Oryctolagus cuniculus: one gene and its partners. The protein of the gene in region 1 purifies or fractionates together with the protein of each later gene. This does not show direct contact. Links are inferred from orthologs where the notes say so. Each region holds a gene or a part of one and is shown on either strand. Other genes may lie near its edges.

Region 1 (3,599 bases):
TTTGGATGACTGCTAGCTTTTCCATAGATTAGCATTGCTTTTTGAGTTCCAGTTTTGATAGAAATATAGGTCTTAAAACTAGATTGGGCCTCAAGAAATCCCAAAGACCAACCTCTCGAGCTTTCAAGCAAACAAGATTATTTATTCCCATGGTAGTGATGAGCTTATTAAAGCCCCAAAAGATTGGAACTTAGTTAAGATGAAAGAATGAGTAACCAGATCTCCTGATCCTTAATTTAGTTGTTTCTACTATACCACCCAGCCCTCAATTCTGTTTCCACTTTTGTGGAACATGAACTTTGCCAAGGGGGAAGGCCTAAAAATGTTCAGGCAGATAAGTATGGGAGGTTTTGCAGGAGTGGGGAAACTTTTTTCTGCCAAGGGCCTTTGGTTATTTATAGCATCATTTGTAGGCCAGACAAAATGATTGACTTACAAAATTAGTCTGCTATAGATTTATTGAATTTGAGTCCCACCTGCAGTTGCCTTGGCAGGGCCAAACCAATTGATTTCAGGGGCCTTATATTGCCCACAGGCCCGACGTTCCCTAAGCCTTCCCTTTCAGGACCCAAGGTGGAGACAAGCTGGGATTGCTCCTTGCTGTGTCCTCCTCCTCAAAGCACATATAACCATATCTGGCTGATGCTTATCAACCTGGCAGCCTATGGTATTCCATTCTCAGGGACTGTAAAATGTCCATACCCACAAGTGCCCACGAGTTGCCAAGATGGTGGTAAGGCAGTTCAGGTGAGGCTGCCCTCGTGGCTACAACGTTTGCCCTCCTCCAGGTCTCAGAGCTCCTAGAAGTCTGATTGTTGTGTCCCCATTTGCTCTCCAGGCAGCAGATGCTAAGCTTTCCTCACCTCCTGCAAACAGTGCTGCATATCATCCAGGTGGTCATCAGCTACTTCCTCATGCTCATCTTCATGACCTACAACGGGTACCTCTGTATTGCCGTAGCAGCCGGGGCCGGGACAGGATACTTTCTCTTCAGCTGGAAGAAAGCAGTGGTAGTGGACATCACAGAGCATTGTCATTAACGTCAGACTCCATGGTGTGGCCTTAATGATTGCAGTGGGAAGCAGTTTGAGACTGGAAGACATGATTCCTGCTCCAATCATCTCTTCTTGCTCCTCTTACACACACACACACACACACACACACACACACATAGCTCAACAGAGGTTTAGTTTACAGTCCCTGGGGTAAAGTGGTAACCTCCTAAACTGTTTTTTTTTCCTACTAAGTTGAGATTCCCATTTTTCTTAAAGAGAAGCCACCCGAGATGTCTTTTTCCTTGTCATCTTAGATCCCATTTATATGTTCTCGTCTAATCTGGGTAGCTTTCTATTCAATGACTTGGTCATCTGCTTCCTTGTTTTATCTTCTTGGTTTCTTTTAGCAGACAGCATATGAATTTGTTTTTTGTTTTGTTTTGTTTTGTTGTTTTGTTTTTCCCTGAGTCAGTGATGGAAAGGGTTTGACTTTGAGCAGGATTAATGGCAGGTGAGGGAAATTCTTGTCCAACTACACCCGGAACTCAAACTTAACATCAGAAAATGAGTTCTAGTCTTTGGACTCAATAAGTGGGAAATACCCTGTGCCTTTCTCCAGCTGTGATGTTTTGCACCAAAACCTTTGTAGTGTGCAGAGGGGTGGTTGAGGCTAATTCCAGGCTCAGGGCTTGCAGAGTGTGTATTCTTGAGTTGCTAACTCATCAATTTTATGTTCCCACTTACCATTTTGATCAGGATGAATTTGCTAATCAAAAAAAAAAAAGACAATCAATTTGAGAGAAAAGAAATAGATATTTTAAAATAAAACTGTAAAGCCATTGGCATTTTACTTTGACTTAGTACCTTGGTTTGTCTCAGCTGAATGAAGCAAGAGTTTGAAATTTTTCCCATTACTGTTTTCATGTGTTTGTCTCCAAACCAGTGATTTTTTTTTTTTTTTTTTACAGGCAGAGTGGACAGTGAGAGAAAGAGACAGAGAGAAAGGTCTTCCTTTGCCGTTGGTTCACCCTCCAATGGCTGCCGCGGCCAGCACGCTGTGGCCGGCGCACCGCGCTGATCTAATGGCAGGAGCCAGGTACCTATCCTGGTCTCCCATGGGGTGCAGGGCCCAAGTACTTGGGCCATCCTCCACTGCACTCCCTGGCCACAGCAGAGGGCTGGCCTGGAAGAGGGGCAACCGGGACAGAATCCGGCGCCCTGACCGGGACTAGAACCCGGTGTGCCTGCGCCGCAAGGCGGAGGATTAGCCTAGTGAGCTGTAGTGCCGGCATGCAAACCAGCGATTTTCAAAGTTGAGCATGCATCAGAACTAGCAGCTGACACACTAATTGCTGGGCCTTAATCCCAGAGCCCCAAAATTGGTATTTCTGGGTTCTTGATTGTTGTTCCAATTGATGGTCAAGGGGGCCCACACTTTAAGAATCTCTGGTTTAAATTAAGGAAGCATCATCTGGTATTGGGCATGGAAATTTGAATTGCTGATGGGTAGGTTGTACATCTGGGCATAATTCATGTCATAAATGCTGCTGGTCAATACTTAAGCATTCCAAAGACTGTTGTGCAGCTCCATCTGTGTACACCTATACCTGCACCTCTGCGCATCTGCAGGAAGGGCTGCAGCCAAAGTACTCTGATCAGCATGGATGAAATCACCACTCCTCAGTTTTAAAGAGCTGTGGTTTCTTGGAAGGAGTTTGAAGGTTGAGAGAGACCTTTGACCTGCAGTGTAAATCAGCCAGCCTGGGCCAGAAGGGCCAAAGCTCAGCTTTCTCTTTGGAGAAACTCAGGGTGCGGCCCACTGATGACCAGATTTGCATCAGCCCCAGCATCCATGCCCACGCCAGGCAGATCCCCATCCTCTGAAAGACCATCTTTGTCACTGTTAGGGGATTAATTAGATCACAAGTGGCTAGAAACCTCTTTTCTAAGTGAAGAATCCCATTGGATGTTTATTGTTAGTCTCTACTGCAGCCTTGTTTCAGTCCAAACTACCTCGGTACAGTGAATCTTCTGTGCTGGTCTGCTCAACCCTGCCCTCCTCGGAGCCAGACACAGCCGTGCCTCGGGCAGAGCTGTCCTGTTGGCTTGTGTTGTGGTTTTGAAGTTTGTACTTTCTCTGTGGATGCCAGTTAAATATTGGAGAGTGAGGAGTGTGTACTTCTATGGCTTTGAACCAAGAGAGGGTGACGAGCCTACTAGATCGAGGTTAAAATCCAAGAACCAACATTTTAGAGCTTTGTGGTTTTCTCTCATTTCATCCGCTTGAAGCCCTGGTAACTTAGCATGGGCAGAGTGAATTCCGGTTACTGACAAGAGTCCAGCACTAAAGGTGCAAATAGCCCATGGCTGTCTCGGAAGCCAAGGAATCATAAAACCATGAGAACCAAGTAAGAATCAAGGTTTAGTAGTGACTCTGGTGCTCTCTAGACATCTCAGCATGAGCTGCTATAAAATACCTTCCCAGTACTGGGACCTTATCAGTAAGGTAAGAAAAACCATTATAAATCTGAAACTAACAGAGAAAAACCTCTTCAGGATAGAGATAATCTCCTGGAAAACCTGACTTTTAGAGGTTCAGGGTTG
Region 2 (4,340 bases), about 210 Mb from region 1:
GCTGTGGCCAGGGAGTGCGGTGGAGGATGGCCCAAGTCCTTGGGCCCTGCACCCCATGGGAGACCAGGAGAAGCACCTGGCTCCTGCCATCGGATCAGCGCGGTACGCTGGCCGCGGCGGCCATTGGAGGGTGAACCAACGGCAAAGGAAGACCTTTCTCTCTGTCTCTCACTGTCCACTCTGCCTGTCCAAAAAAAAAAAAAAAATATTTAAAAGGCAGTGACCTAGAGGGAGAGATGGAGATCTTCCATCAGCTGGTTTATTCCCCAAATGGCCACAACAGCCAGGACTGGGCCAGACCAAAGCCAGGAGCCCAGAGTTCCAACGGAGTGTTCCATGTGAGTACTTGGGCCATCCTTTGCTGCTTTCCCAGGTGCATTATTTGGGGAGCTGGACTAAAACAGTAACGGATGTGAACCTGTGCTCTGATACAGGATGCCAGCGTCGCAAGTAGCAGCCATAACACTGGCCCTGAGTTGGCTATTTAAAAATTCTTAAAAAATTTATTAATGCAGAATAGATTTCATGTATTTTATAGAACAATTCTGAGAATATAACTATACTCCCGTCCCTTCCTGAATTGGCTATTTGTAAGTAGGAAAAATGGCAGCTAAGGATGGCTTGTGTTTGTGAGGATGTGGAGCCGAGTTCATGGGATTCCCCAGCTCAGGGAATAGTTCCAGTTGCCTGTAGGTGGCCTGCCTTGGCACACCTCTTCCCCCAGGCACCTGCTGCAGAAATGTGGGCCATGGGAGACTGTGCAGATCCCGGAATCAGGTATGTGGAAGGGGCATAGAAAACCACCCCGTGGGAATGACATCATTTTTGCCCATCTTGTTAGTGGACACAGGGGCCTGTTTGCTTGGGTGTCACCAAATAATCAGCCTCAAGGAGCTGCTCAAAAGAAAGTTTGCTTGTGACAGTGGGGAGGTAGAGTTCCCTACAGGTGTCTCCCAGAGGTGCAGCGTGCCAGGACGCAAAGGGAGAACGGAGCAGCCTTCCTGTGGAAGCAGACATCATACGTGGCATGCACGAGGCGGCTTTCCTTGTGTGTGGCGGTCCTGCCCGCACCAGCAGTGAGGACGAGCGATCCCGGAGCAGCCTCTGAAAACCAAGCTCCAGAAAACGAAGTGGTTCAGGGTCTCTGCCCCTGCGCCCTCTTACCTACAACCTTGGCGATGCCGACTATGTCAGGATTCCGGCGAGGATTCTTGGGACGCTCTTGTACCCGCCGGGCACATGGCAGGCCCCGAATTCCATTCACTGTGTAACAAGCTAGTGGGTGCCCCGGCTGGCGAGCGGATGAATGAACACCAGGGGAGGCTGGGTGCGAGGACCGGCTTTAAACTCCGCGCCCAGCGGGCGGGTCTAGAGGTGGCTCCCACGTGCCTCCACCCCGGCCCTGACACCGGATATGACGTCAGTCCGCGGTTCCCGGAACTAGGCGGAGAGACCGGAAATTGACTCGGGTGGCGGGGGGCACAGCACAGATGACCGGAAGTGCTGAGCCCGGGCGGCGAGGCCAAGCCCCCCGCTCCCGGGCCCAGTGGAGAAGCGCTGGGAGGGCGGGGTCGGTGCAGGGGCGGGGCCTGCGGGCTGGCGGCGGGGGCGGGGACCCCCGTGCTCCTGCGCCCGCGGCGGCGCGGCCATGAAGCTGAAGCTGAAGAACGTGTTTCTCGCCTACTTCCTGGTGTCGATCGCCGGCCTCCTCTACGCGCTGGTGCAGCTCGGTGAGCGGGGCGGGGCGGGGGTGCGTCCACCCATCCCGCTCGGCCCCACGGACGGCCCTCTGCGGCCGCGGGCGCACTGGCCCTCCCTGGGACGCACCGCGGCTCCCCGCCGCACCTCGGCCGAGCCTGCAAGGCCTGCATGATCCTGTCGCCGTTCGCCTCTCGAGCCCCACTTGCTCCCCTCTCCCCTGCTCTGCTCCGGCCGGCCTGCCTTCCTGACAGCTCCTCCCAAAACCCCAGGCTGATTGCTCGCGCAAGCTTCACCAGGTCCCTCTGTCCGTGCTTGTGTCCCGGGTCTTCCCTGGTTGCCTCTTATCCTAGCTCGAATGTCACCTCCCCTGACCACCCTAGCTACAGTCATCTCTTCCCGATTCCCTTTTATTCTCTACCCTATGTATTCCCTTCATGGCCGTAGCGATTTTGTTAATTTGCTGCTTTGCTTACTGTCTGCCTCCCTTACCAACCTGAAAGCGCCGTAAGGGGTGAGACCGCGTCTGTTTTGCCCCAAAGGCAGTGCCTCCCCCGAGGAGCATTCAATAAATATTTATCCAATGATGGCATCGATGAATTTAATGAGTCTTTGGTCACAGACAAGGAGACAGGTTGAACCCTGCCTCTTACGCAGGGGCTTAGTGACAGTGCCACCGCATGAGCCTCAGGTATTTGAAAGGCTGCCCTGTTTAAGGGCATCCAGAAGACAAAATTAGGACCAGCAGGCAGAAAGAACAGAGGTAGATTGTCTGCTCAGTGTCCAGATGAAACTTAGAATTTATGAAAGGTGGAGAGAGGCTGCCAGTTGAAGCGGTGCCTTCCACGGCAGCAGAGGGGCAGTAAGGGGATCTCAGTGAGGGTCTGGTCCCCTGGGATGCTGAATGTTCTGATTCTCTGCTCCCACCCCCTTTCCTGACTGGTGCTTCCTGGGACCAGGCCAGCCATGTGACTGCCTCCCTCCCCTGCGGGCCGCCGCGGAGCAGCTTCGGCAGAAGGATCTGAGGATCTCCCAGCTGCAAGCAGATCTCCGGCGCCCACCCCCTGTCCCCGCCCAGCCCCCCGAACCCGAGGCCCTGCCTACTATCTATGTTGTTACCCCCACCTACGCCAGGTATGGGGTCTGGAGCACCCAGAAGGGCTGCGAGTTCGGGGAGGCACAGGGTTGGGGGATGTTGCTCAAAGTAGAGCATGCCAAACGACAGACTAAGTGACCCACGTCTTCACCCCAAGACTTACGGGAAAATGCTCATTCTTCTAGGACAGAGATATGGCTAGACTTTGAAGCAGAATACAAAGGTCCTGCTAAATTTTAGGAGAGAATAATAACGCTTTAAAGAAATTTTGGGCTTGCCAGTGAGTTAACTCTCTCCATAGAAATCCTGTGGTGAAAAAGTTTTAAAAATTCCTGAATAAGGAAGCGGGCAGTCATACCAGGGTCTAGAAGTGGTTACAACCAGCTGTTGTTTCCATGTCAGGCTGGCGTTAAGTGCTTTACATTTGTTTTGACTACATTTTAAATCAAACTGAAGCCTTATTGCTGACAGAAGCTACAGGGGAATGTGGTATTGTACCTGTCACCTAACAGGCCTGTTAACACACACACCTCTCTGGACCCAGGTGGCAGAGCCATCCAGACACAGACAGCTCTGCACAGCGCTCCCTTCCTAGGTGCACACCACCAACCTGGGGCTGGCAGGCAGAGCTGGAGACATAGATACGCAGAAGCTGCCACGCCTCCCATTTCCCAGTGCCTAAACTCAAATCTTCGCCTGGTGTGGAATAAGCCAAGGGGCTTGACTAAAATAAATTCCTTTCTGGAAACCCAGCTCACAAGGCAAAAGAACCTGGTTTACTTGTGCTTTAGAAAGTCACCGTCTTAATTGATCTTTAAAATGTCATCCTTAAAGGTACTGTTAGTCCCATTTCACACATGAGGAAACTGAGGCCAGGGAGAATGAGCCATTTTCCCAAGGTTGCTGACCTAATCAGTTACACAGCAGGGGTTCAAACCCAGGAGGTGGGTGACAGACATGGTCTGGAGAAACAGGGCAGGTGAGCATCAGCGCGAAGGTGACTGGCAAGAAAGGGGGTTTGGGCGCTGCTGGGGAGAGGCCGCGGGAGATGCCCGGGAGCAGCTGTGAGTCCGGGCTGCAGTGAGCACGCGCTGCCTCTCTCCCCCTGCAGGCTGGTGCAGAAGGCAGAGCTGGTGCGGCTGTCCCAGACCCTGAGCCTCGTGCCCCGGCTGCACTGGCTGCTGGTGGAGGACGCCGAGGGCCCCACCCCACTGGTCTCAGGACTGCTGGCTGCCTCCGGCCTCCTCTTCACACACCTGGCGGTCCTCACCCCCAAGGCCCAGCGGCTTCGGGAGGGCGAGCCAGGCTGGGTTCGGCCCCGTGGTGTAGAGCAGCGGAATAAGGCCCTGGACTGGCTCCGGGGCAAAGGGGGTGCTGTAGGGGGAGAGAAGGACCCACCACCACCAGGGACCCACGGAGTTGTGTACTTTGCTGACGATGACAACACCTACAGCCGCGAGCTCTTTGAGGAGGTGAGTGCTGGCATGGGGATGGGGAAAAAGCCAGCTGGGGACCAGCATCATCCGTTACCATGGTTCCCAGTGCT
Region 3 (4,195 bases), on another chromosome or scaffold:
TCTGTCCTGGGAAGGACCTCCACTCCTTAAGCTCCTTTGAAGAAAATACTACATCCTACTTACCTTGACATCTGCAGTACTTGGCATGTGGCAGGATCTCAATGAACATTTTCTGAATGAATGAAACAGTAGGAAAGATTCTAAATTCTGAATTAGGCTATCTGGACCTGTGCTGTTCATAATTTGTGATTTTCATATTTCTTTGGGTTTCGGTTTCTTTAATCTATGAAATGAGGAAGTGGCACTAGATTTTCCACAAGGGTCTCTCCAGCTTCAGGGGCTGTCACTGCTGCCTACTATTTGAGTTCAAACACATACTTTGTCTGATCAGAGAATGTTTCATAACAATTTGAGAACATCAAAAAAGAAAACTTCACATATCACACACACACATACACACACAAATAGAATTTCCACTATATCCCGAAAAGCAGACAATTTGACTTTATTGGCCAATATTCCCAAACATTCACAATGGTCATATCTGAATCACACTGCCTTTAGGTGAGGGTGTGCCCTCTACTTGGCCAGCAAGCCCATCTCTTTGTATTATTTCCATCTCACAGAGGTAAAGACTAGTCCTGATGTATTCAGGGATATACATGTGCATGTATAACACCAAACAGCCTAGAATTTTCTAAGTAGTACTAATTCAAAACACTTTGTGCTTAGTGTTTTGTTTTGCTTTTCTAAGTAGCCCTAGACTTCTCACTTAATCTTATGATCTTTTTGGAAAACAATGTTGCCTTGATAGGAGCAAAGGCCAAGCCATTGTATCTTCTAATTAGTTTAGTAAAGTATTTCTCTCACTTGAAGCAACTGATGCTTTTCAGGTAATACTTCCTATTGAATATTTATTATTGGAACATTCTCTTCCAATTTTAAAGTCCACGAAGATTGCTTCTTGCCTTTCAAGGATGTTTGGACTGACTTGCGTGATCAAGAAAAGCTAGTCCACTGAGTGAGTACCCGGGGTGTTCCCCTGTCCCTTCATTGTTCCTGCTAGGATGGCGTATCTGCGTTTGCATTTTCGAATGGAGCTGTGCATTCGGTCTACGGCGGAGTTAAAGGTTAGGAAAGGAGACAGGGAAGAGCCTAAGGCGGGGGCGGGGTGAAGGCACGAGTCCAGGGGGTTGGCTTCATGGGATGAAGAAGACGAATACCCTCCATTTCCTCCTCTTTTCTTCTGTATGCAGGCTAAGGCTTCCACCATTTGTGTGCCCGCCTTCAAAGAACTGCCCCCTGCAATTTTGCTGGCGCTTCCATTCCTTCGCTGTGAACCAGAGGGGGCGGGAGAGGTTCTCTGTCACTCAGTCCCTAAAGCCAATGGGTGAGGAGCTAGCCCCTCTAGCCTCGCCTTCTTCTCCGGGTTACACTGGGAGCATGCGCAGTGGGTGTTCCTGTGCCGCCGCCCATCAGCTGAGAGTTGCAGCTGGGGGCTGTGGGGCCCCGGGGTGACAGCGGCCGCTGGAGGAGGAGGAAGCCGAAGTGGTCAGGGTAAGAGAGGCGTGGGGCAGGGGGCTCTGGCTGGGCGGCCGGAGTCGCGGTGTCCCTGCAGCGTTGCCACCTGCTCTGTGCGCTTGGTCCGCCGGCCGCCGCCCTGAGCTCTGCGGCAGACTCGCGGGAGGCGAAGGGCGGGTGCTGCCCGTGCTCCCGGAGCGCCGGCCGTCCCCAAGCCCCCCGGGCCCGTCGCTGGACCCGCACTCGCGGCCGAGGTGAGGCGGTTCGGCCGGCCTCGCCAGCTCCGCCAGTCCGGCGCTTGCCGGGTGGCAGCCGCCTGGAGCCGCCCAGGGCTGCGCTCCCGAGGCTGGAGAGAACAGACAAGAGACCTCTTCCTCCTTTTAACTTACGGGTCGACAAACACATGCTTGAAACTTCCCGAAAACAGGGGCACGAGAGTCAAATGCTTGTGGTAGACAAACCCTAGACGTGTGTTCAGCGGCCCTTTGTGTTTGGCTTTGGTGACTTTGACATGCCAACTTTCTTTTTATTACATTTTTAAGGCCTTGGAAATCACAATATTTTAAGAATTCCGAGCACCTCCATACCCCTCTCTTTCTTTAAATTTAGACAGAATGGGTTAATAGGAACATTGCTTTTATGATCAAATGCTGTGTTTTCTCTCTCATATTTCTGACATTTGCTTGGCTCTTACACTTGTGTATTCGTTTTTTGTACCTCCGATCACTGTATTCGACACAGTTATATATAATTTAAATCTTGCCCGGAATCTGGAAGAAAAGGAAGTAATTATGAAATGCTGTACTGTTTAGTAATGTCGGAGGTGGGTGTTCCTTCTGCTCTGAGCTGCACCTGGGCAGAGACTGGGGGAAAAAATGTTCCACTACATCTGCATCTGGTGTTGTGGATCAGCCTCAGCCTTGTGACAAGTTAGAAATTGGGCTGTAGTTTGAAAGTGTCTAATGAGTATCATTCACTTCTACAAAGTTTATGTCATTTTTCCTTCAGATGTTTTACTTATGCTGCAGATAACAAGTCAATTCTAATTTTAGTTATGTTCCCAAACTTCAGCCAAGTACTGGTAGTTGAAAATTAAATTATATAAAATATCTGCAGTAAGTCTGAGTGAGGCTTTCCTGTGATTCCATGTAATTTGAAAGCTTAATGTGGGAAAAGTGAAAACAAAGCCCTTGGTAATGTGAACTAACACTGAGTAGTGTAATGGCTCATCCTGTGGAGGTAGTGGCTTGAGGAATGCCTCTGTTGAGCAGGTGTAGAGATTACTAAGCCGTAGTGAGCGCTCTCACTTTCATTGAGCATCTACTGTGCACCTGGTACTACACGTACCACAAGATGACAACGTTGGATATCTGTTGTGTTCCAAAGATGAGGATAGACATAAGCATATGCCAATTAAATAATTAGATAGTGATGAGTGTTAGGGAGCACTGAGAGAGAATGACAGAGTGGCAGGAGTGGTGAATTCTCACATCAGGCCTGGCTTTCTCTAGCATGTGATAGATAACTCCTGGGAAAAGTAGCCTGTCCCGTGCAGATCACGGGAAAGAGCATTCCAAGGTTGGGAAATGGCATCAGGCACAAGACAACCATAACCTTGGGGCATCCTTTTGGGATCTGAAAGAGGCTTTGGAATCCAGTGCTTTAGAAATGGAAGTGTGAATGTACATCAGAATGCTTATGTAGAAGTAGAAAGAAAAGATAAGTTTATTTTGGTGCAAAACGTTTTTGAAATTCACGCATAAATTTTTTGTGATAGGTATTTTCCATGAACTTTCTGAAGACCCCTTATATATACCCTCAGGATGGGTCCATGTCTCTCAGAAGTATGGTCATTTTATTCATTTGTTCTACAAATATTAATTGAGCACCTATTATGTACCTGAATTCTGAAAATCAAACAGTCCACACACATACACACACACAAGTTATCACCCCCATGACTCCGGGAACTTATGTATTGGTGCACAACCTGCAAAGAAATTCAGTATTATATGCTGGTGCTGATGATTGAGAAAGTGAAACTGACCACTTCTTTGCCCAGCCTAGATTTAAAGAACACAAGATCTATGCTTACTGGAATCTTAAAGGTTCTGCAGCATGGCCACTGGTAAGTGAGGACAGTGTTTGTCACCCAGGGTTCCATTTTGAAATTCCCTTTGTTCCTTTAGAAGCAGTCTGAGAAGACTCGTTATGAGTGCTGCGCTTTGATCTACCCTGCCCCTTTTTCTCTTTGTAGTGCCCAGACCTCGTATATCTCCACAAAGATAATTACCGAGGTGAGATCAGCATCATCCTCGCAGAACTTGCTGCAAGCATGGAAGTGGACGGTCCAGGAGCTGTCTGGGCTTTGGACACTAGCCACATACAATCTTTGAACCCTTGAGAGGTTGCTGTTATGACTCAGGGCTGAATTTTTCTTTTGACTTAATTGTAGTTTTAATAGCTTATGGAGTTTGTGACTACTCTGTTAGACAGTGCAGGTCCAGATAATGTTATGTAATTGTCAGTCTGAGGAATGAAACTAGGAATTCTAAATGGACTTTGAAAGGGATTCCATAAGAGTGCTTTAGGCAGTAGCAGCTTGAGCTAGGTCCTGAAAACAGATGTGGAAAGCAAACATTTGAAAAACTTGGCAACAATTTAACCTGTATGCAAAGTTCATAACCTTTTAGGTCAGTTTATAGTTAACTGTCTATTTGTGTGTGCCCGTTTT

Evidence for each region. The genes of interacting proteins can lie anywhere in the genome.
Region 2: the proteins of SLC31A1 (region 1) and B3GAT3 purify together in Homo sapiens (co-immunoprecipitation; 3 studies listed by BioGRID and IntAct, with this or other methods). This does not show direct contact. The link is inferred for Oryctolagus cuniculus from reciprocal best matches to the Homo sapiens genes SLC31A1 and B3GAT3.
Region 3: the proteins of SLC31A1 (region 1) and STX7 purify together in Homo sapiens (affinity purification with mass spectrometry; 3 studies listed by BioGRID and IntAct, counting the BioPlex papers as one, with this or other methods). This does not show direct contact. The link is inferred for Oryctolagus cuniculus from reciprocal best matches to the Homo sapiens genes SLC31A1 and STX7.

Annotation. Positions count from the first base shown.
Region 1 is NC_091432.1:216,862,456-216,866,054, forward strand, and holds part of SLC31A1 (high affinity copper uptake protein 1), read left to right. Parts: intron 1-838; coding exon 839-1,040; 3' UTR 1,041-3,599.
Region 2 is NC_091432.1:8,936,403-8,940,742, forward strand, and holds the start of B3GAT3 (galactosylgalactosylxylosylprotein 3-beta-glucuronosyltransferase 3), read left to right. Parts: upstream 1-1,512; 5' UTR 1,513-1,648; coding exon 1,649-1,730; intron 1,731-2,657; coding exon 2,658-2,832; intron 2,833-3,628; coding exon of another isoform or gene 3,629-3,773; intron 3,774-3,905; coding exon 3,906-4,266; intron 4,267-4,340. UniProt on the Homo sapiens protein: Glycosaminoglycans biosynthesis. Involved in forming the linkage tetrasaccharide present in heparan sulfate and chondroitin sulfate.
Region 3 is NC_091436.1:36,549,344-36,553,538, forward strand, and holds the start of STX7 (syntaxin-7), read left to right. Parts: upstream 1-1,367; 5' UTR 1,368-1,497; intron 1,498-4,195. UniProt on the Homo sapiens protein: May be involved in protein trafficking from the plasma membrane to the early endosome (EE) as well as in homotypic fusion of endocytic organelles. Mediates the endocytic trafficking from early endosomes to late endosomes and lysosomes.